Linked DNA regions of Schizosaccharomyces pombe. The gene in region 3 interacts genetically with the main gene of each other region. Each region holds a gene or a part of one and is shown on either strand. Other genes may lie near its edges.

Region 1 (4,490 bases), on a different chromosome or scaffold from region 3:
CCGAAAAATTAGGAGACATAAAAATTAATGAGGAAGTACAGCAAAAAGACGAGCAAGAATGCCCTGGAGATAAAGTAATTCCTCCAGAATATGCTATTCAAGAGGTTTTATGGTCACATGTTGTTGAAGTTATTCAATCTCGTAGTGGTCTTCCACTAGATTGTATTGTTTCTATACTTTCTAGCATCCTCAATTTTTTCTTGCGGTGTTACCCTTATAAACCCCAGTATGCAGATCGTGTTTTTCAATACATTAACGAACATATCATTAACCAGCCCTCCTTACGAAGCGCTCTTCATGAACGTCCATTACAAAAAAGTCTTTGCGCAATTTTATTGCTTCCTCTTACATATTTCCCTTCCTTTTCTTACTGTCTTGAGCTACAGAATTTCCTTCCTGTATTTAATGCGCAAGATCCAAACCTTCGTTACGATATTGCAAGAATGATTGTTCAAAAGATAATTGAAAAAGGCCACTCATTAAGTGAGCTTACAGAAGCACAAGAGCTACTAGGTTTTGTGTCTGTCATTATTGAAAAAAAGGGAGTTGATAGCCTTGATGACTTACAAAACGTTGCTTTGATGGTTCATTATTTGAATAATGATGACCCGCAAATTCAAATAGAGGTACTATATTTTTTTTCTTACTGATTTACTGACAACTTAGATACTTCGATCCTTGAAAGATACATTTATAAAAGCCGGTGAGAATGTCAAATATCTTTTGCCGGTCGTTGTTAATAGATGCATATTCCTTGCACGAAACTTTCGAATATTTAAGGTATATTTTGTGTTTTGCAAGTCTTTACTAACAATACATTTAGTGTATGGATTGGGCTGAGAAAGTTCGTCTTCTTTGGGAATTTGTAAACACTTGTATCAATGTTCTTTACAAAAACGGAGATTCTTTAGAGCTGTGCCTTGCATTATATTTAAGTGCCGCTGAAATGGCTGATCAAGAAAATTATCCTGATTTTGCTTACGAATTTTTCACACAGGCGTTTTCTATTTACGAGGAGTCTGTCCTTGACTCTGAATTGCAATATCAACAATTACTAATGATTATCGGGAAATTACAGAAAACTCGTAATTTCTCTGTTGATGATTATGACACGTTAATTACAAAGTGCACTTTATATGCTTCAAAGCTTTTGAAAAAGCCTGATCAATGTTGGTAAGAAACAATGATACTATATATTAAAGTGATTATACTAATTTTTTACTTTAGTGGGATTTACTTGGCTAGTCATCTATGGTGGCAGGTCGCATCAGGAGAAGATTCAAGGGTAAGCAAATTGTGATTTCTCATCTATATTTACTAACATTCCTATAGCCTTTTCAGGATCCAAAACGGGTACTCGAATGTCTGCAAAAAAGTCTCAAGATTGCTGATGCTTGTATGGATCAGGTATGCTCATAAATTTAAATTTCGTTTGTAAAATCCTTTTTTCACATGTTATTCTCAGGACATATGTTGTTATTAACTTTTTTTTAGCTTACTAGCCTGAAGCTTTTTATCAATATATTGGAACGTTACTTTTATTATTATGATCAGCATTGCGAATCTATCATTGCCAAACATATAAGTGGACTAATTGACCTTACAGAGCAGAACATGAGATCCATTTTAATATCCTCGCCTGCCGACCTTATTGCTAGTGATCCAAGAGCGTATGCTAGTTCGATCTGGGAGGTTGCTAATGTATCGGTAATTGATTCTCTTAAAAATCATTTAGAAAGAGCAACTGCTTACGCAGAGAAACGTTCTGAAGATGAACGTTGGTCTAGTATTTTTCAATGATTTCTCGTATGCGTTTATATCATGTCTTACTCCCTAATATACTTCTAATAAAATTTTTGTATTACTAATTTATTCATTTTTCTCTTGACAGCTATATTTCAGGTTCTTAGATTTTTTTCTAATAGAAACTGCTTACCAAACTTTTTTTTCAACTCGTACTTGAAGCTACGATCATAGCCACTTCAGTCCGTATTCCTAATATATTGAATTTTTATTCGAAATTTGCATTTGTATGCCTCATTAATTAAAAAAAGAAAGAAAAGAGGCTTAATTGGTAAAAAACAATAGTGTTATTGTCTTGAAAAAGTACTTTTCATCAGGCATTGCAAGCACTTCGTCAAACACCTACTTCTATGGACGTATTACATATTTATTGTAAAGAACTACAATAGACTTAAAATGAGTGACGATAGATTTGCAGAAGATGAAATTATACAGCAAAGACGGAAACGGAGGTTGGAAATTTTAAAGAAGTACCAACAGACTGGCAATGGCCATTCGGATTTGTCAATTCCAGAGAAAAAGCTAAAAGAAGATGTCGACCAAGTCTCTACAACGAAACCTATCGAAGCTGTACCAAAAATGAAAACCAATGCATCTAAAATTGAGATTAACAAAGAAGGTTCTAATTCTAATACTAAGCTTGATGTAACTAATAGTACTACTAGTGATTCCCCCTCTATCAAATCTTCTGTACAAATTGAAGATACTGAAGATGACATGTTTGCAGATTCTCCTTCGCCTTCTGTTAAGCGGCAAAACACTGGGAAAGGTATTTCCACTCTAACTAGGAGTTTTGCAGATATGCAGGATAATTGGGACGATATTGAAGGTTATTATAAGGTAGTTCTTATGGAGGAATTGGATTCTCGTTACATCGTTCAGTCCAACCTTGGTAAAGGCATGTTCTCTACGGTGGTCAGTGCTTTGGATCGGAATAGAAATCAAACTTTCGCTATAAAAATAATTAGAAACAATGAGGTAATGTATAAGGAGGGACTCAAAGAAGTATCAATTCTTGAGCGACTGCAAGCAGCGGATCGTGAAGGTAAGCAGCACATAATCCACTATGAAAGGCATTTCATGCACAAAAATCATCTTTGCATGGTGTTTGAGATGTTAAGTCTTAATCTTCGGGACATTTTGAAAAAATTTGGGCGTAACGTTGGGTTGAGTATAAAGGCTGTTCGTCTGTATGCCTATCAAATGTTCATGGCATTGGATTTGTTGAAGCAATGCAACGTAATTCATTCAGATATCAAACCGGACAATATGCTGGTGAACGAAAAAAGAAATATTTTAAAAATATGTGACCTTGGTTCTGCTTCAGATGCCTCTGAAAATGAAATAACACCGTACCTCGTGAGTCGATTTTATCGTGCTCCAGAAATCAGTAAGTCTAAATAAACGCCAAATTGCTTATAATTCCAAAAATATGGAAATTGAATTCTTCTTCTCATTACTTTTGTACTCTTTTTTCAAGATCTAACCTTTAAAATAGTTTTAGGCTTTCCTTATTCGTGTCCAATAGATACATGGAGTGTTGGATGTTCTTTATATGAGTTGTATACTGGTCAAATACTATTTCCTGGCCGAACAAATAACCAGATGCTTCGCTATATGATGGAATGTAAGGGGAAGTTCAGTCATAAAATGTTAAAAAGAAGTCAATTTTTAAATGACCATTTCGACGCGGATTTCAATTTCATACAAATTGATCATGACCCCATTACAAATCAAGAAACGAGGAAACCTGTAAAATTCTCTAAGCCGACCAAAGACATTCGATCTCGTTTAAAAGAAGTCCCAACTTCAACTGATGAGGAATTTATAATTCGACAAGAGCTTATGGATCTTTTGGAAAAATGTTTGGAGCTTAATCCAGAGAAACGCGTACCGCCTGAAGTAGCTTTGAAGCATCCTTTCTTTATAAAAAAATAAACTGCGGGTTCATGGGTAACTATCAATTTAGAGTGAAGCAGACACTGTTTCTTAGTTACGTGATCTCTCTGGTCAATCAATACCAATCAATGTATATATTTTATCTAACCAAGTGTAACAATTTTGAATAGTAGAAACGCCAACTGGTTTGTTGTTTGACTTACAAATCTATGTGGTTTTCAATTTTCTTTCTCCAGTGTAAATAGTGTTTGTGTCGAAAGAGTCTCATACTCGTTCAACAAATTAGATACTAATGCAAAACTAATTGCTTCATTTTATTTTATCATTTGCGAAATAAAACCAATGGTAACGACATTTCGATAACTGCGTAGATGTCACATATGCTGTCAATGGCCGTGGACATTTTAGCAATTGCCAACATTCCTAACAAAATCTCTGTGACCCAAAATTCATCATAAAAATATGAGAGATCGTTTAAAGGATCCTGTAAAAATATTTGAAATAAATAAAGGGAAACGCCCTGTACACATAGCGGCACCAATGGTGCGGTATTCAAAGTTACCATTCAGGCAACTAGTGAGAGATTATAACACTGATATAGTGTATACTCCGATGATTTTAGCAAAAGAATTTTTACATCCTAAAGGACGTTATTTTGATTTTTCTACAAACGATGCAGATGCAAGCTTGATTCTACAATTCGGTGTGGATGACCCAGTAATTTTGGAAAAGGCGGCACAACTTGTTGGACCCTATGTAGATGGTATTGGAATTAACTGTGGTTGCCC
Region 2 (5,075 bases), 630 kb from region 3:
CTAAAATTATCTCGAGAAGAAAATTGGGATTCTTTTAATTTTTTGTTCCCTCTACTGCGTGAATTTGAATTCGATTTCATAGCTCCTTTGTTCTTTTTAAGCACAACATTGCTCTTTCGCTTTACAAACCTAGTTATCGGATACTTTTGAACATCATTTCTCTGTACATTGTCTTGATTTGATACCATAAATTAGGGGAATGTTTTAAGTTGACAGATTTGTCGACTAATAGTTTCAGTAGTTTGTTATACGTGAAAAACCAATATAGTATACCAAAAAGTAGAAAAAATAGTAAAAAAAGCTTTTACGTTTTTTGGATGAATTATATTCAATTTTAGTAACCTTCGATTGACTCAAATATAACTTAGTTGTGTTTCAGACAACACTACGAGGTGCATGCCTGATGTGTTGATCCTACCATCAGCCACTATACCATGGTTTACCTGCAAACTGTGAATGAGTTCTTCACACAGTCAAAATCATTAACGGAGGCTTATCCAAAAACGGTATGGTGTTGATGATATCTTTGATAATCAAACTCTGACTTTTTTCATTTAGACCAAACTTAGTATCAAATATCGCACGAATGAGCAGAGTCAAAATTATTTAATCGCGAAAGCCTTTGAAAGTGCTTCTGGAATATGTCTAAAATATAGGACTGACAAGGCGGCTGAACTTGGCAGATTACTTCTAATTGCAAACAAACTTAGTTATGTCTCCACAGGTAACGAAATTCCTCCTGAACCAGGTATGTATTATTAGTATATCAATTGTTTTTGCATTGTTATAAAAAGAAGCGCTTGGAAGGAAGATGTTTTCCTTTAAAAGTAGTTATTAATGTAACTATGCTCTTCTAATTTTTACGTTTCGCTAACAGTCATGTTATATAGAACAAGAGGTAGTGGCTTCTCCGGTTACAGAGCAAAAGAAAGCGGAGCCTTCCGCTCCTCCTAAGGGTTCAAAGAAAAAAAAAAGGGGGAAGAAGAAATGAGTGTAGCACTTGGCGTGTTTTTTTTTTTCATTTTGTTCATTTAGTGTCACGTTAGATATCTTAGGATCGGATTAATTCTTTACTTTTATCTTACAATAGCAATTCTCTCGGTTTATCAATAAAGGTAAAAAGGATAATTTGCAGTGTAAGTCAGTCGTTCTGTACTTTCTTATTCGACCAACATGAATAATGGCCCCTTCTTTCTTAATATCATTTTTTATTTGCAAATGCTATACATAATCAAAAGGATGCATTCGCATTGGTATTACCGATGTGATTGGTTATAAAAGTATAACAAGCATGTGTATTCATTTACAGGTATTTCAAGTGCTAAAATATAATATTTCCTTTATGCACAGTTGGTAACATATTATTTAGTACAAAAATCTTTATTCGGTGAATTTCATTATTCATTCGCTAGGACAGATCGTTTAGACAAGGATGAAAAGTTTTACTGCATTAGCAAATAAGTAAAAAAAGTTGATGTTTCTGCTTTTAAAATATCGTTTGTTTACAGTTACCGATTGCACAAAAACTAGTTTACTACAGTGTGAACTTCATATTCAATATACAAGCAATTTTCCTTTTAAAGTTTGCTAGAGCAACTTTTTTAATATGGATATGTATAGACACAACTTCATTTTCACCTTAATAGTATCTTTATTTAAGTTTATCACATTTTGTTTACCATTTTGTTCATAAACCAATTTATGTAGGTTGAGAGAATTAGCATCATAGTTCAAAAATTCTTATTATGTTAATCTATGATTGATCTAAACAAAATTATTATCATCAATTATCTCCAAAGCTATTGAGTAAACGTTTTTGTTTAATTATGAGAAATATATTACTGCCTGCTTAATTTCCACCTTCCAGTGCTGTGGGCATTAACACCAAAAAATCGGCAACTCAACAATTATTTGAGCATTAGGAGTGCCTTTCTTTATTTATTATTGGGATACTCAGGGGCTTAATTTTTTATTTTTTAGCAACGGATTGGTTTTCTTTTGATCCTTTATTATTAGCCTACAAATATATTTGTTAAATTACAGCCTTTTTTTTACCTTACCTATGGGCTTACTGGAATTCTAACAGAAGCTAAAAGATACTTTCATTTTCTTTCAAAAGCATAATTGATTGCTTTATAGGTAATCTTGTTGGACAATCTGAAGTGTTTTCTATTCAGATTACTGTTTGCTACTACTATAAGTGTTCTCGTGTTCCTTCAATCACTGTTATTGATCCAAGATATTTGGACATTTGATGCTAAATCTTATTTACATGTAATTTTGTTTGTAGTAAGAAGTTGAAAACGTTCAGTTTTAACAATTTTTTTATGTTTAGGCATTTGGTACGAAAAGTTTTGTCCTTCCATTTATCTTTTTAATCCCCTCTTTATTTAACTTAAACACTTTCAGGGATTCTACATGCCTAACTCAACTGCCCAATATCCGGAAAAGGATTCATGGGAATTCTTAGTCAAATCTGGAATTGCTGGTGGTACAGCTGGATGCGTTGCAAAATCAGTAGTTGCCCCATTAGATAGAGTGAAAATCCTTTACCAAACCAATCACGCTTCTTATCGAGGGTATGCTTATTCACGGCATGGGCTTTATAAGGCTATCAAACACATTTACCACGTCTATGGCTTACACGGTCTTTATCAAGGCCACACTGCTACTTTATACAGAGTCTTCCCTTATGCGGGCATTAAATTTGTTGCATACGAACAAGTACGGCGTGTTTTAATTCGTGACCCTGAACATGAAACACATGCTCGGCGATTTTTATCAGGATCACTTGCCGGAACTTGCTCTGTTTTTTTTACATACCCGTTAGAGCTGATTCGTGTTCGTTTAGCCTACATAACCAATACAGGGAAGAATCCTACCCTAACTCAAGTTACAAAAGATATATTTCACGAACGTGATTTTTTGTGCAATAAGAAGTATCCTGGGTTATCCCGTTTGTCAAAAATCTGTAATTTTTATCGTGGATTTTCTGTTACGTTAACTGGAATCTTTCCATATGCTGGTATGTCGTTTCTTGCCTACGATCTTGCAACTGATTTTTTTCATAAACAAAAAATTGACGAATGGGTTTCTACAAAAAAGTCAGATAAAAAACTTAAAACTTGGCCCGAACTACTTTGTGGAGCATTTGCAGGAGTTTGTGGTCAAACGGTTTCTTACCCATTCGAAGTTTGTCGACGAAAAATGCAAATTGGTGGTATCAGAAAAAATAAATCATTTCTTAGACTTAAGCAGGTAGTACAAACTACTTACAAAGAAGCCGGTATGAGAGGTTTTTTCGTTGGACTTACCATAGGTTACATTAAGGTTATCCCAATGGTAAGCACTAGCTTTTTTGTTTACAATCACAGCAAAGCGCTTTTAGGGATAGATTGAGACTGCAGACATAGTTTTCTATGAAAAAAATTATCCCTTTTTTAAAAATTTATAAAAAAAGATCTACGGGATTATAGGTGTATGATATATTCATTAGTTGCAGATTGTTACATCGTGACCATGCAATGAAAGAGATGTATTTTATTAAAACGGAACAAGAAATAGCAACCCAAAGTCAAATAACACGTTTTTTCTAAGTCCACAACTCTGAATTGAATAATTTGCTATCATACTAGCAGCCAAAACTAGATGTGCAAATGGTTCAAAGGGAAAATGAAGTACTTAAAGATAGCTGCTAATAATTGTGTTAAATGAAAAAACAATTATTGAAATGAAAAGAAAGAGATGAAACAAAAGACAGGAACGGTGCATTCACCAAACAGCTCAAATATTCTGCAATAATACTTGCTAACATATAACACAACATTTAGTTGAAACCTCATCTTCGGTTTTACTGTTATTTACAGCGCTAGCTCTTTTAGCAGTTGAAGCTGGAACTTGGGCAGTCTGGACGGCCTGCTTATTCTGAAAACCTTTTTCTTCTGATTTGTTATAGCGACGGATCGTGCGAACCAAACTATAAAAAGCTTCTTCTACATTTAACCTTAGCTTCGCCGAAGTTTCAACATATAAACAATGCATGCTTTTTGCAAGTTGTTCGCCTTCAGCTCTTGAAACTACACGTTCAGCTTCAAGGTCGCATTTATTAGCCACTAAAACGACTGGAAATGTATCCTTATCCTTAACTCTAAGGATTTGTTGATAAAATGTAGAAATTTCGTCAAAAGAGGACCGAGAGGTAATATTATAAACTAATAAAAAACCCTCTCCGGTTCTCATATATTGTTCACGCATAGCGGAATATTCCTCTTGACCGGCCGTGTCCAATACATCTAAAAGCGCACCTTCACCATCAATTTCACACTTTTTCCGATATGAATCTTCGATTGTAGGATCGTATTCGTCAACAAAATGCGATTGAATTAATTGAATTGTCAAAGCACTTTTACCAACACCACCATCTCCTACAACTACCAATTTGTACTCTCTTAAGTAGGTAGACTATAAATATTATCGTTGATTAGTTTGTTGTAATCAATAAAAGATAACCCCAAGTCATTGCTTAGACTTACCCTCATATTCACTATTTTATAAAGCACACTAAGTTTAATCGTATATTTCTTTAGGTTGCTTTTAAAACAAAATACAAAAAGTGTGTAGGCTTGGTAATTAAAAAATATTGGTTGGTCTTAAGCTCGTTAAAATGTGTTTGGCAGTTTTCAAGTAATGCAGTCAACAATTACTGATGGCAAACCGACAAGCTAGTAATAAAGAAATTCAGAAGTTATAATTTTTTAAAGGTATCTGGTGCAATAAAAACGAAATATTAATGTTAACAGCTAATTATGTTAAATCCATCAATAAACATTTGATCTTCTATTAAAATACCAAAAATTCTGCCATTTGTATTTGACAGATATATTGCATTAGTGCTTTGTCTACCTTTAAAAGCATACGAAGTATTGTTTGAAGAATTCCCTATTCAGCCCAACTTAACCAAATTAGCAGCAAATTTAAGTATTGCTTTTGAACTTTCTATACTGAACATTAAATATTTCTTTATTAAAATTAAAAAGCTTCTAAAAATTTTGCTCAAGTGTTCGCAATACATGCAT
Region 3 (8,052 bases):
GATCAAATCTCTAAGTTTCGGTTCAACATCAAGCCATTGTTGATCATCCAGGTTGGGCCACACGTGATTCTCTTTTGTAATTATAGACTTGTCTGGTCTAAGAATTAGCTTCGTTTTCTCAGTATTGACATTCAATGCGCGCAAGATAAGTATCAAGCGTGAAAAAGCTGTATACGATGATACCGATTGAAGCCAGTCATCATATAAATTGAAAAGTACCATTTGCGGTTCGGTGGCACGTAAAATCAAATCATTGATTTTATCAAGTTTAATAATCGCTTGGAAAGGAAGCTGTAATTCACTACCCTTAATGGTTATATTAGGAAAGTCCAAAAGATGAACTTCTAATGGATCCAACATGCCCTTTCGAGTTACTATAATCTGTCGAGGTTGTTCTTCAACAGGCAGAGAACGAATCAAAGCAGCAACTTCTTCAGCAGTCTTCCATTTCGCCAATTGTCCCAATCGTTTTTGTCCCGCCCAAACTGACGTATGAATAACTTTTAAGAACAATTGACCAGTTCTCGGATTGAATATAAAAATAGCACCATTAATGGGTTTCGTAGTCAAATTACCTTCAAATGTTTTATGAATGGTAACCCGATAAACATTAGTATCATCAACGAATAATTGAATTTGATTACTAAAGAGTTCAGCATAATTTGAGGAGGACAAATACTGCTCTTGGGGTTCAGAAGCATATAATTGAAGACCTTTTCGTATGCGTTCACGCAACACATATAAGGCTGGATTGGCTTTCATGATCTTGTTCATGCTCTGTTGAATTAATGGTTTCATACCAGGAATCCAGTTACCATATGCACTATGCATATTGTAACAAAGATCAATGCCGATTAAGACACCGGTCGGTGAAGGATACATGCTTTGAGCATCAGTGCTATAATCCAAAAATTTAGCTCTAGTATAACGTTCAATATCATGAGAATCATAATCTCCAAATCGAAGTTGTACATCAATCCAATATTTGTTGGTGGTAGTGTTGTCAAGCACATCGCGATTATCGTTCAATAAGGATGGCCTTGATACGTTCCATTTATAGGCAGCCAAAAGGAGGATATCTGCACAAGAACTATTCATTTTATAACTTTTACGAGGATGGATAGTTTCTTTTTGGACTGTTTCAATTTGCAATGACTCTAATTCTTGGTCAAGCACTTGACACAAATCCCAAACAACAGATTCATGAATTTTTTGCCATAAATGAGAACGAAAAATTTGAATGAGTGAAATCTTCAGGGTTGGAATTTTGCCATGCATCATGATTCCAGTCAAATCCAGTTGTACTTGAAATCCGACATAAACGTTAGCACGATTGATAGTGGGACTCCACCAAAGCGTAAATCTACGGTTAGGGATTTGATTTAAACCTGAACGCTGAGCATTAGTAAGCTTTTTGAACTTCATGGATTCTTCAAAACCAGATGCTTTTTCCCAAAAAAGACCTTCCCATGAAGGAAATCCAGTAGCTTTAAACATCGTATGCTCCAAAATACCTTCGACACCACCTAAAGCCTGAATGACATCTACTCGGTAATTATTTAATTGCCATAATTTTCCATCATGTCTTTGACTCGTCCACCAGAATGGATTGTTTTTAAGGAGCTGGTACTGCTTAAACTCAGTCCTAACACGCCATCCTTTATCATATGCCAATGTGTGTCTATCTTTTTGAAATAGAGTATTTATACGAGGAATTCCTCGATCCCATGAATCTTCCAGATCCTCTAAAGTTAAACGACGATTTTGTTGTAGAGCTTCTTGTCTCTTCATTGCATACTCAGCCCATACACGCTGAGAGTCAATAAACTCTGATTCCCATGGCTGAATATAACGATAAAGGTTTGGAATCAAATGTTCTCCATTGGTAGTCATTCCACTTCGAAAATGAGTAATACCAGTATCAGTTTGTTTCGACCATCTAAGATCAGATTGTGGAATAAGTACATGACCCATTGAAAGCATTCCTAATCCACCAAGTTCTTTAGGCGAGTAGAAAACGGCTGGAGGAAAGCGACTAGGCATTTTAGAATTTAATGAAATTTTTACTCGAGTTTGTATTTTCGATTCACATTTAACAAGTAAATCTAGAAGCTCGGGCGTAGAAATCGCGGCTTCCCTATAATAAGTCATGAGAGCTATTAGAGCAGTATTCCATTTATTAGCAATCTTGGTAAAGGTAGTGGAACCAGAGGACATAAGAATCTGACGTATACGGTTTCCAAATTGATTTATACCATCCTCCGTAACACGTATGAAAGCTTGCGCTGTCCGTTGTTTCGTACGATTATCTGTGAGATTCCATACACCATCCTTCAAAGAAAATTCTTCATTTTGTCGGATCTTTGGAAGGATTCTAACCTCGAATCCTGTCATCGAGAACAATAAATTAGGATTGTCTTTGCTGTAAACACTAGGAAAGGTATCCTCCCACTCAAGGGTAGTTAGTGATCTAGGTAAACGATTACGAATCTCCCAAAAGACAGCACGTCCGAGATTCACGTCGTGTTTCATGAGTCTCATACGAGCATCTCGAGGCCAACAATTTTTTTTACCTTTAGAATAATTTACAACATTGCTGTTTGTGGGATCAGGATTTTCATTCAAAAATCGTTGAATCAAATCACGGGATTCTTCATCAGTAAATCGAAACATTATATAAACTTTATCAATATAGCGTGTATACAGTCGAATAGGGTGACTGGTCTCAGTTGCCTGATCTTTGAAGTGTAGAAAATCATTCGGTGCATCTGCAGGACCAGCTATTTCTGTAGCGCGTTGAAGGCCAAGTATTAGTAAATCCAACACTAATCCATAAAACTGCCAGATGAAACTTGAAAATTGTAAACCACGGACTAGGCCATACGAGTTGGTATGCGACATATCCTTATATGACAAAACAACGTTGTTTTTAGCACTAGCGTAGGAAGCTAAATTGGTGTCCATTAGTAATGACATCAGTCTATTAAGAAGTGTTAAGTCAACTTTCTCAAATACTTTAGACAGCCTAGTTTCCATTAAAACGTTACATTCGCCGTTGGAAGTTTCCCAAACATCTGTAAGATTATTAATTCCTTGGCACCATTTGTAAACAAGAAGAGGTGGAGGTTCTGAATCAGAAGGCTTTACCCAGGAAGGAAATAGGTGTCGACGATCGGCCTCAAACCAAAGGTATTGATCGAGATAAGCATCACAAATTTTCTCCATCGGATCTACAGAATAAACAGGAATCAAGTGAGAATACATATCCATAAACTCAATCCCTACCTCTTTAAAAGTACGCATTGTCAATAAACGCCTTTTAATTTGGGACAGCATCTCATGTGGATTATCGTAGGCTTGTTCCACTAATGCTAATTCCTCTCGTTGGGATTGATTCAAGCGACCCTTCACCGAATACGCTTCTTTTAAGCGTTCAAGTGCTAAAACAAGAAGTTTCGTATCATGTTTGTACGAAAGTGGAGGAAAGGGAATAGGTTGGAATCGCCTACTTTCTAACCAATGTACAAAAGTAGTATATATAGCAACTGCCTCATCGGCAGTTACATAAGGTCCATCTTTTAGATAATTATGTTGCCTTTCTTGTTCAGCTTTTAACCAAAGCCTAGTTAATCTGCCAAGATTCTTTTTCGCCACGGTTTTATCAACAGTAGCTCCTCGACGAATACGTTCACGATTGAAGTGAGCGACTGAGGTCCACCAATCTGCTTTTGACTTCACATATCTCAAAATCATATTCTCAATAGGTGCAGGGAGACCCGGAACCTTCCAAGGTATGTTAGCCTTCCAACAACGCCAAGCTTCACTAAGATGCTGCAAAATGGTTTTGCTTTTGCCTTGGCGAATTCCTTCAGGTATCATATCCAAAATATCATTCATCACTGCAGCCCTCAATTCTAGATCTTGATGAGAATCGACACGCTGCTTGGTTATTTGTTTTGCCACTCCTGTAGAATGACGGCCTTCAAATTGTCTAGCAAGCAAATTGCCCAGCCAGCGCTCTAGCAAAGGAACAATTCCGCGTAGAAAGAAAAGCCATACACGCCAACTGGGAGCCCAAAACCCACAACCTGGACCTTTGCCAACAGGACCAGTGTTGAAGCGATAATAAATAAGATGCTTGAAATCTTTGCAAGCACGAATCTGCCGCATCAATCGATATTTATAACGATACATTCCCGTAAGTTGACCAACATGATTAAATATGTAATGTAATCCATCAGCTAGCTGATATGCGTCAATGTTTCCCAAACGATACTGTACATGAGAATCGACAATTAATTTAGTAAGGCGAAGTATTTCGCGCATCAAGTGAAATGCATTACCAAACCTAGATTTCTTTCTTTCCTTCGTAGTTAATGTCTTTGTAGGTTTTAAATTACAGTTGTAATCCAAATGTAAATATGTCAACCCTTTTCTGTGAATAAGTAATTGCAGCATGTTGTACCCTTGGCGACAAACTTGGAGACCAGCTTCAACCCAATCGATAGAAGTACTTTGAAAAAATTTAGTATTTTTTAACTGTCTAAGTAAGCTGCGATTGGTGTGCGATTTGGGATGCGCCATGTGCAACTTATTCATAACATGGGATTTTAAAAGTTTTTGATATGACACACGAACTTTAACAGGCTGATTAGGAGGACAATGCTCTAAATACCAATGCTTTATCAGTGGAACATCTTGCGCACGCTTAGTCGCACCAGATCGCTTATTAAAAGGATGGGGTGCCCACAATAAAATCAGAGCACTGGCTGTGTGCTCAAATTCTATATCTTCGGAATGAAAGAAAGGATCGAAAGGGATTTCAAAATTAGGATCTTCTTCTATGGCAGAATCTTCGGGAGAGGTATCTAGTTCATGCAAAGTGAGTTGGCGGGAAGTGATGGGGTTTATTATGGGATCCCAAAAAAAAGCCGGAAGATCAGGATCCTCAGGAGGAACGAAAACATTAGACGGTTGGTGGTATTCACTTAGTGCAACGCTTCGAGCTCTAGAATTATAAAGGTAAGGAAACGCTATCCGGTATTCAGTTTTAATGGGATGTCGGATAATAAGTTTATAAATGTCATTAAATTCATTCCAATCTTCCATTTCTGGGGCTTCGTCTTTGTATAAAGGTTCAAATTTCGGACCTCCTGGGATAGCCACGTTCAAAGCTTTAGCCGTAAAGAAACTATTGTCATTAAACAAGTAAAAGTAATTATCATCGCGTAAATCACTCAAAAGTTGGTAACCTAAACGATGTAAATTAGCCATCTGAGGTAAATTAAGCTTCCAACGACGATAGGTTGGACCATTTACATGGGGAGTATCTTCCAAAGCCTTATTTTCGTAAAACCAATCCATAACAGGAGCGTCATCTTCTTCATCTAAGTCCATTCTAATAGCCTCTAACGGCTCTAAATCAAGCAATTGATCAATAGAAAATGGTGGCTCTTCATCGTCAAAAGGAGGAAACCGCAAACGCTTAAAATTTTTTCGATCACGCTTCTCGCGTCTCATCATCATCCACATCGTTCCCCATTGAGCAATAAAATGCGGTTCAATTACGCGAGGACTCTCGTTTACAAAAGTTATAGCACCGGTTACATGATATAAAACCTTGACCTCCCTGTATTCTTCCCAAGGCATTGGCATGTTCTCAAGCAATTTTAGCACAGCATGTGGCAAGTACTTCAAAGCGCCCAAATAGGAACGTTTATCAGCACGAAACTTCCTAGAAGACATATCTCCCCTGTCTTTCATAATTTTGCGCAGGTGCTCAGGCGGAAGATCAGCTTTCTCTGTTTGAACATAACCCTGCTTCCTTTTGACACCAAACTTTGATTTTTGAGAAGCGCGCCATTTGCGTGCTCTTTCGTTAAGTTGCTTTTCAAGATTTCCAGACTGTGCTGGAGTCTTGTTTTTTCTTTTCTTCACATAACCTGGAGGTGGAGGAGGTGGAGGCTGTGAAGGAGGCTCAAATCCAGGCGGAGGAGGCGGTGGAGGAGGATTCCCCGGTGGTAACGACGCCATTTAGGTAATGGTATTTGTCAGCTGAATTGTGGTAGTGAATATTACTTTGTATGGTGGTGACCCTCGCCATTATTTGTGCGTAATATTCTTTTGTGCGTTTTATTTCATATTAGGTCTATGTAGTCTTCTGCTCATAATACGTGTTTAATGTATATTTTTTTACACGCTATACGGGATTTGAAAATTCAAATTTTCTTCGTTAAAATGCAACACGCTTAAGAAGTTTGTCAACCAAACACCTACCCATATCCAAAGGTTAATTTGAACATAATCATGCTCAATCGAATCGCCTTATAAGAATTAGTAAAGATGTATGTATTGACATAAATTACATTTTGTTATAAAAAAGTGTTATTTGTAATTATAAACCTTTAACTAATTCAGAAAGTATAAATTACCAAGTACAACTAGTATGCATAAACCAAAAATTCCTATTCCTTGATTTAGTGTTTCAGGTTCAACGGCTTTAGTTGAAAAAAAAAATTTGAAAAATAACACCGAGTTAAATAAGATTTGTACAGTATAAGTAAACACAAGTAGTGATAAAAAAACCCCCCACACTAAGTGAATGAAATGGGAAAACTGTGCAAATTATCAGAATTAAAGGGGAGAAAATATCACATAGTATACATATTTCGCCAAAAGAATATGGACAAGTATTAATGTGCAAAGATATTTGACGGTTTTAAGTTAATTCGAATTAAATCATTGGGTAGTTAAAGAGACGGAAAAATGAACAAAGTGAAACGTCTCATGAATAAAATTTGGAGAAAATCAAATGTAAGAACATATTGGTGTTTAATTTGAGACGGCCATCCAAAACATCCAAAGTTAAAACCTTGTTATATTGAGCAGACAACAAGTCGTCCAAATGCAATTCACACCTTGGGCTCGAAACTTTAACTGTCGGGCTTGTTGCTTCCAGAATAAATTTGCCAACTTCATCGGCTGATATAGTAATATACAATTTTTCTTTCTGCGGCATATGAGATATTGATACCAAAACTCCTCGGTCATAGAGTTTAAGAGCTGGGTACTTGAACGACCCAAAGCGAGGAACGCGTCCAGATTTTCGGAGATCTCGCATGTGAAAATACTGTTTAGAAAAAGGAATAAGCTTCTTCTTACCCTTCTTTGATTGTAATGTTTCCATAGCTTGTTCAATGTATTCGTTATAACTTTTTAGCTGCGAATCAAGGAAAGCTCTTTTTTCTCGTAAGTTAAGCAAACTTTGATGTCCCGCATCAAGTTCACGCTGTCGTTGCATCCTTCTTCTCGACTTATTACGGATATCTAGAGCGATAGAATTTACCATATCTTGGTAATTATTCCGTCGGTTTGCAAATCCAAGCTTTTCCATTTCCACTATATTGCTTAGTGCAGTGTATTTCAGTTCTGCAAATGACATTGAAAAGATAGAATCATCAAACAAATCATAATTCCTTGCATTCTTTTCAGATTCTTCTGCCAATAAATTTTGCCATGCTGCTTCGTCTGAATCTGTAACCGGTTTGACAAGTATTTCCAAAAGATTAAGGCCATTTTGAATTCGAATAATAAATAATATATATCTCTTTGTCTGAACAATAAGAGTCCGTTCCTGAGCAACGGGATTTTCTATAGTGCAAAATTTGGGATTCAATTCTAGTTTGACGTCAGTTTCATCTTGCACAAAGTCATTGTCTTGCTCTGAAACAGGACCTAAGCTATTGACAACAGCGCGTAATGGATCGTTCACATCAGGAGGAGCAATACTATCTATGACATATGCAATAGATGAATAAATGCCTAAAATATCGTCTCGCTTCATGTATATTACTGGCCGCTTGGTATTAACAAGGTCTTCAAAAGCATCGAACTCAAAGTACACCTCTGGATCAACCACATCGACAAGCCTTTCTAGCATCAACATGGTATCCTGCTTGGACACCTCAATAAACTCGGAGAGTGGTCTAAAAAAACCAAGTTGCTTAGAGTCACAGGACTCGATTGAAAAGATCTCAGACAAAATGCTTGACA
Region 4 (3,398 bases), on a different chromosome or scaffold from region 3:
TAAAAGTAAGATAAATTTATTTCTTTTTTATGTATACTAATATATAATCATAGACATTGACAGGGAAAGAGGTTCGTGTTTTAAATGTTGAAAACATTTATATGCAGTTATAATTCATCTATGTTTCTAACCAAAATATAAGATCGAATTAGACATTGATCCAAATGACAAGGTTTCTAGGATCAAAGAACGGGTTGAAGAAAAAGAGGGTATCCCTCCTTCACAGCAGCGTCTGATCTACGCTGGAAAGCAAATGTAAGCACTATGGGAACATCCATACAATGATTCTAACAAACATCACGTAGGGCTGATGATAAAAATGCTGAAAGTTATCATTTAGAAGGAGGCAGCGTCTTGCATCTTGTGTTAGCTCTTCGTGGAGGAAGTTGCTAGTTGTTGCATACTTTATTTATAAAGAAAAATTATGTATAAAAAATCATACTTTTATTTAACGCTATAAACGAAATCTTTTTACTGTTTTACTAATACTAAGAGTAACGAAATGAGAATTGAGTCGCTTTATTATTGCTCTGTTTCATTTTATGTGAATCTATTGATTTGTATAAAAATATTGCTTAAGCTTTTCTAAACTTAAGACGTTTTGGTGATCATGAATTTCAGCGATAAGATTGATTACTTCTTGTTAATTTATGAGTAAAGTAGTCGTAAAGAGACGTTTTGCACAGAAAAGTCAATATATAACAACAATTGCTTGCGCATTCCCATCTGATATCAAAGTATATAAAGCAGTAGCATGCGAAGCAAAACTTCCTCAGTACAACATCGAATGTAATTACCATAAACGCAAAATCTCTAGTAAGACTAAAAGAAAATGTTGTTTAAATAAAACTAACTGCAAAATGCTATGTAGCAAAAACATGGGCTGTTGTGGGAATCGAACCCACGACCACCATCACCCTAAGATGGTATCATACCACTAGACCAAACGGCCACATTGATAGGGGTGCCACTTAAACATATATAAAGGAAATATACATGTAAATCTATATAAATTACATTTTTAAGGAGGAAAGTATAATCAATATGCTTATAAATTGCCATTTCAATGTATTGATTCTCATTTTTCTATTTAAGAAGTTTTAAATTTTTTTTGTTTATGAGAAAGTGACATCGGCTTTAAGGAACTGCTCTATTTAAAAGCAAGAGAGATTCATTTAATTATAAATAGTCTGCATAAAGCCAAATTACTATTATAAAAATTAAAAAAAAATGATATTCTTTCTTAATTTCAAATTAATTCTGATAACCGGATTTTCGAAGTTTTATGTAATCTTAAGATTGAAGTACTAGTTTTTATAATCGTGAGTACAAAAAATCCATCCAAAAATCTTTGGGCTGTATATTTAAGAACAAATTAAAGTAACTTTAGTTTAATCAACAAAGGTAAGGATTTATAAACTTCATTAGGTGTTTTTTAAAGTTATTAAAAAAAAAAAAAAAAAAAAAAAAATCTCTCAAATTGTTCGGCTACAGATTTTTTGAAAGCTTCTATTTTCCAATAAGGATTCTAATAAAATATAATAAAGAGGGAAAAATGATGCTAAATTATAATTTTTTTTATTGGTTTCCCAAATTTTTAATCTTTTTTTATTGAATTAATGTTGTAATAATTTAAAAAATATTGTATTAAAGAGTAATGTTTATGATCGCAACTAAGCACTTTTCTCCGCCTGGCGGTAGTTCTAGCTTACTAAGTGCTATAATTTCACCTATTTAAATTTTTGATTAAAACCGTCAACCAAAATTATAATTCAAATGCGTGGATTTATTGCAAACTCTTTAAAGCCGCATATGAGATCTTTTGCTCTGCGCAGAAGTTTTACTAGCTCTCGTATTTTGAGAAAGGTGAACGCAGTTGAATCGTTTGGCGATTACAATACTCGAATTAGGTATGTATAGTCAATAATATATCATAGTAAAAAATAAAAGATAAAACTTTTTCGAATAGATCTCCTTGCTAATTGCTACTAGTGCTGACAAAGTTACCGTCGTTGATTTCTATGCAGACTGGTGCGGTCCTTGCAAATACCTCAAACCGTTTCTTGAAAAATTAAGCGAACAAAATCAGAAAGCATCTTTTATTGCTGTTAATGCAGATAAATTTTCTGATATTGCTCAAAAGAACGGTGTTTATGCCTTGCCTACCATGGTATTGTTTCGTAAGGGTCAAGAATTGGACAGAATCGTCGGCGCTGATGTGAAAACTTTATCTTCTTTGTTGGCAAAATATCAAGAATAGAATATGGGATATTGGTGTCCCCATTCGTAAATTGCTTGATTTACTTTCTCGATTCAATTTGTTGATTGCACTGTATTATGTCAAAACTAGGTTTTAAAAACTTGACACGGCTTATTTTATTTAAGATTTAAGATTTAAGGGTTTTTACTTTATGAATTTCATTATATAATTGCCGGACCAAATTTGCTGAAATCAAAAATATCCTTTCAGAAATACCTAATAGGGGAATGTTCAACTCAATTAACACAGGAAGCTACAAGAATGAGCTATTTTATAACAACGTGAGTATTTCTATGAGGTGATTAAGGAATAATTTTTGAGGTTCATAGATAAAGCATTAATATATCCTTTACGTTTGTGACATAACCATTCGATTTTGGATATTATTACACAGATACTGCTCTATTTATTCATTTAGACATAACACCATGAACGAGAATGCGTATATAATACACGGTTTTAAACCAGACAACAAAACATAATTTCAGGCATTAATCAGCAATAAAGAAAAATCTAATTATAGTTTTCGTTTTTAACAAAATTTGAGGCTCTAAATGTATAGTGTATTCAAGAAGTTATTCAATATCCTCAAAATAATAAATAGAAATTATGCGTTGAACACATAATATAACTTTGAAGGCATCAGTACTCTTTATTAAATCCAAAAGCTTAGGAATTGTATTTTCATCATTGCAACAACTTATTAATAAAGCGGCATACGCAAGTTGATGAGGATGTGCCATTAAACATAAACTGCTGGCATATGAATCGTTAACAATGCTCCTATTTCCTCGATCGTTAGAAAAATCTAATCGACTGTGATTTTCAATATAAGAAGTATACATACCAAGCAAACTCAAGCTGCTTTTGATTGATAATGCCATCATGAAATGCTTGCTCAAGAGAAGTGTAGGGATGGTGAACAATGAGAAATGCATCAAGGACTGAAATGATTTCAAATTCTATTTCGGAAATATTAGAACGACTAAGTTTAACTTTTAGGCTCCAGAGATCATTAGCCTCATTGCAAATTGTGCGAATGTGAACAGGGCATTCTTCCACTTTGCATGATAAATAAATGCATGTAGCCACTAGCGCCTCCAAAGAAAAACCCTTTTCCTCATTTTTTTTTAGCATG

What was found.
Region 1: of spp42 (region 3) and prp4, a mutation in one rescues a mutant of the other (synthetic rescue), as found in Schizosaccharomyces pombe (one study listed by BioGRID).
Region 2: mutations in spp42 (region 3) and leu5 together harm fitness more than expected from each alone (negative genetic interaction), as found in Schizosaccharomyces pombe (one large-scale study listed by BioGRID).
Region 4: mutations in spp42 (region 3) and trx2 together harm fitness more than expected from each alone (negative genetic interaction), as found in Schizosaccharomyces pombe (one large-scale study listed by BioGRID).

Annotation. Positions count from the first base shown.
Region 1 is NC_003421.2:1,620,538-1,625,027, forward strand, and holds prp4 (serine/threonine protein kinase Prp4), read left to right. Parts: upstream 1-1,961; 5' UTR 1,962-2,199; coding exon 2,200-3,193; exon of another isoform or gene 3,194-3,301; coding exon 3,302-3,741; 3' UTR 3,742-3,938; downstream 3,939-4,490. Other genes in the region: retromer complex subunit Vps35, read left to right, coding at 1-626, 667-780, 824-1,173, 1,228-1,285, 1,333-1,407, 1,495-1,800; tRNA dihydrouridine synthase Dus4, read left to right, coding at 4,165-4,490. UniProt on the Schizosaccharomyces pombe protein: Has a role in pre-mRNA splicing and is essential for growth. Phosphorylates srp1.
Region 2 is NC_003424.3:2,015,951-2,021,025, forward strand, and holds leu5 (coenzyme A transporter), read left to right. Parts: upstream 1-1,857; 5' UTR 1,858-2,418; coding exon 2,419-3,399; 3' UTR 3,400-3,807; coding exon of another isoform or gene 3,808-4,461; 3' UTR 4,462-4,532; downstream 4,533-5,075. Other genes in the region: SPOM_SPAC17H9.06C (uncharacterized protein), read right to left, coding at 1-188; signal recognition particle subunit Srp21, read left to right, coding at 435-506, 559-748, 891-991; GTPase Ras1, read right to left, coding at 3,808-4,461, 4,533-4,538.
Region 3 is NC_003424.3:2,648,719-2,656,770, reverse strand, and holds the start of spp42 (U5 snRNP complex subunit Spp42), read right to left. Parts: upstream 6,053-8,052; 5' UTR 6,034-6,052; coding exon 1-6,033. Other genes in the region: rng2 (IQ motif containing GTPase activating protein), read right to left, coding at 6,785-8,052.
Region 4 is NC_003423.3:2,316,846-2,320,243, reverse strand, and holds trx2 (thioredoxin Trx2), read left to right. Parts: upstream 1-1,713; 5' UTR 1,714-1,776; coding exon 1,777-1,910; intron 1,911-1,966; exon of another isoform or gene 1,967-1,992; coding exon 1,993-2,260; 3' UTR 2,261-2,835; downstream 2,836-3,398. Other genes in the region: ubiquitin-like protein modifier for cullin Ned8, read left to right, coding at 1-5, 54-71, 143-255, 306-393; cyclin CycC-like Srb mediator subunit Srb11, read right to left, coding at 2,836-3,043, 3,108-3,398. UniProt on the Schizosaccharomyces pombe protein: Disulfide reductase which serves multiple functions in mitochondria, protecting mitochondrial components against thiol-oxidative damage as a thiol-disulfide oxidoreductase, and supporting urea cycle and respiration in mitochondria in a manner independent of active site thiols.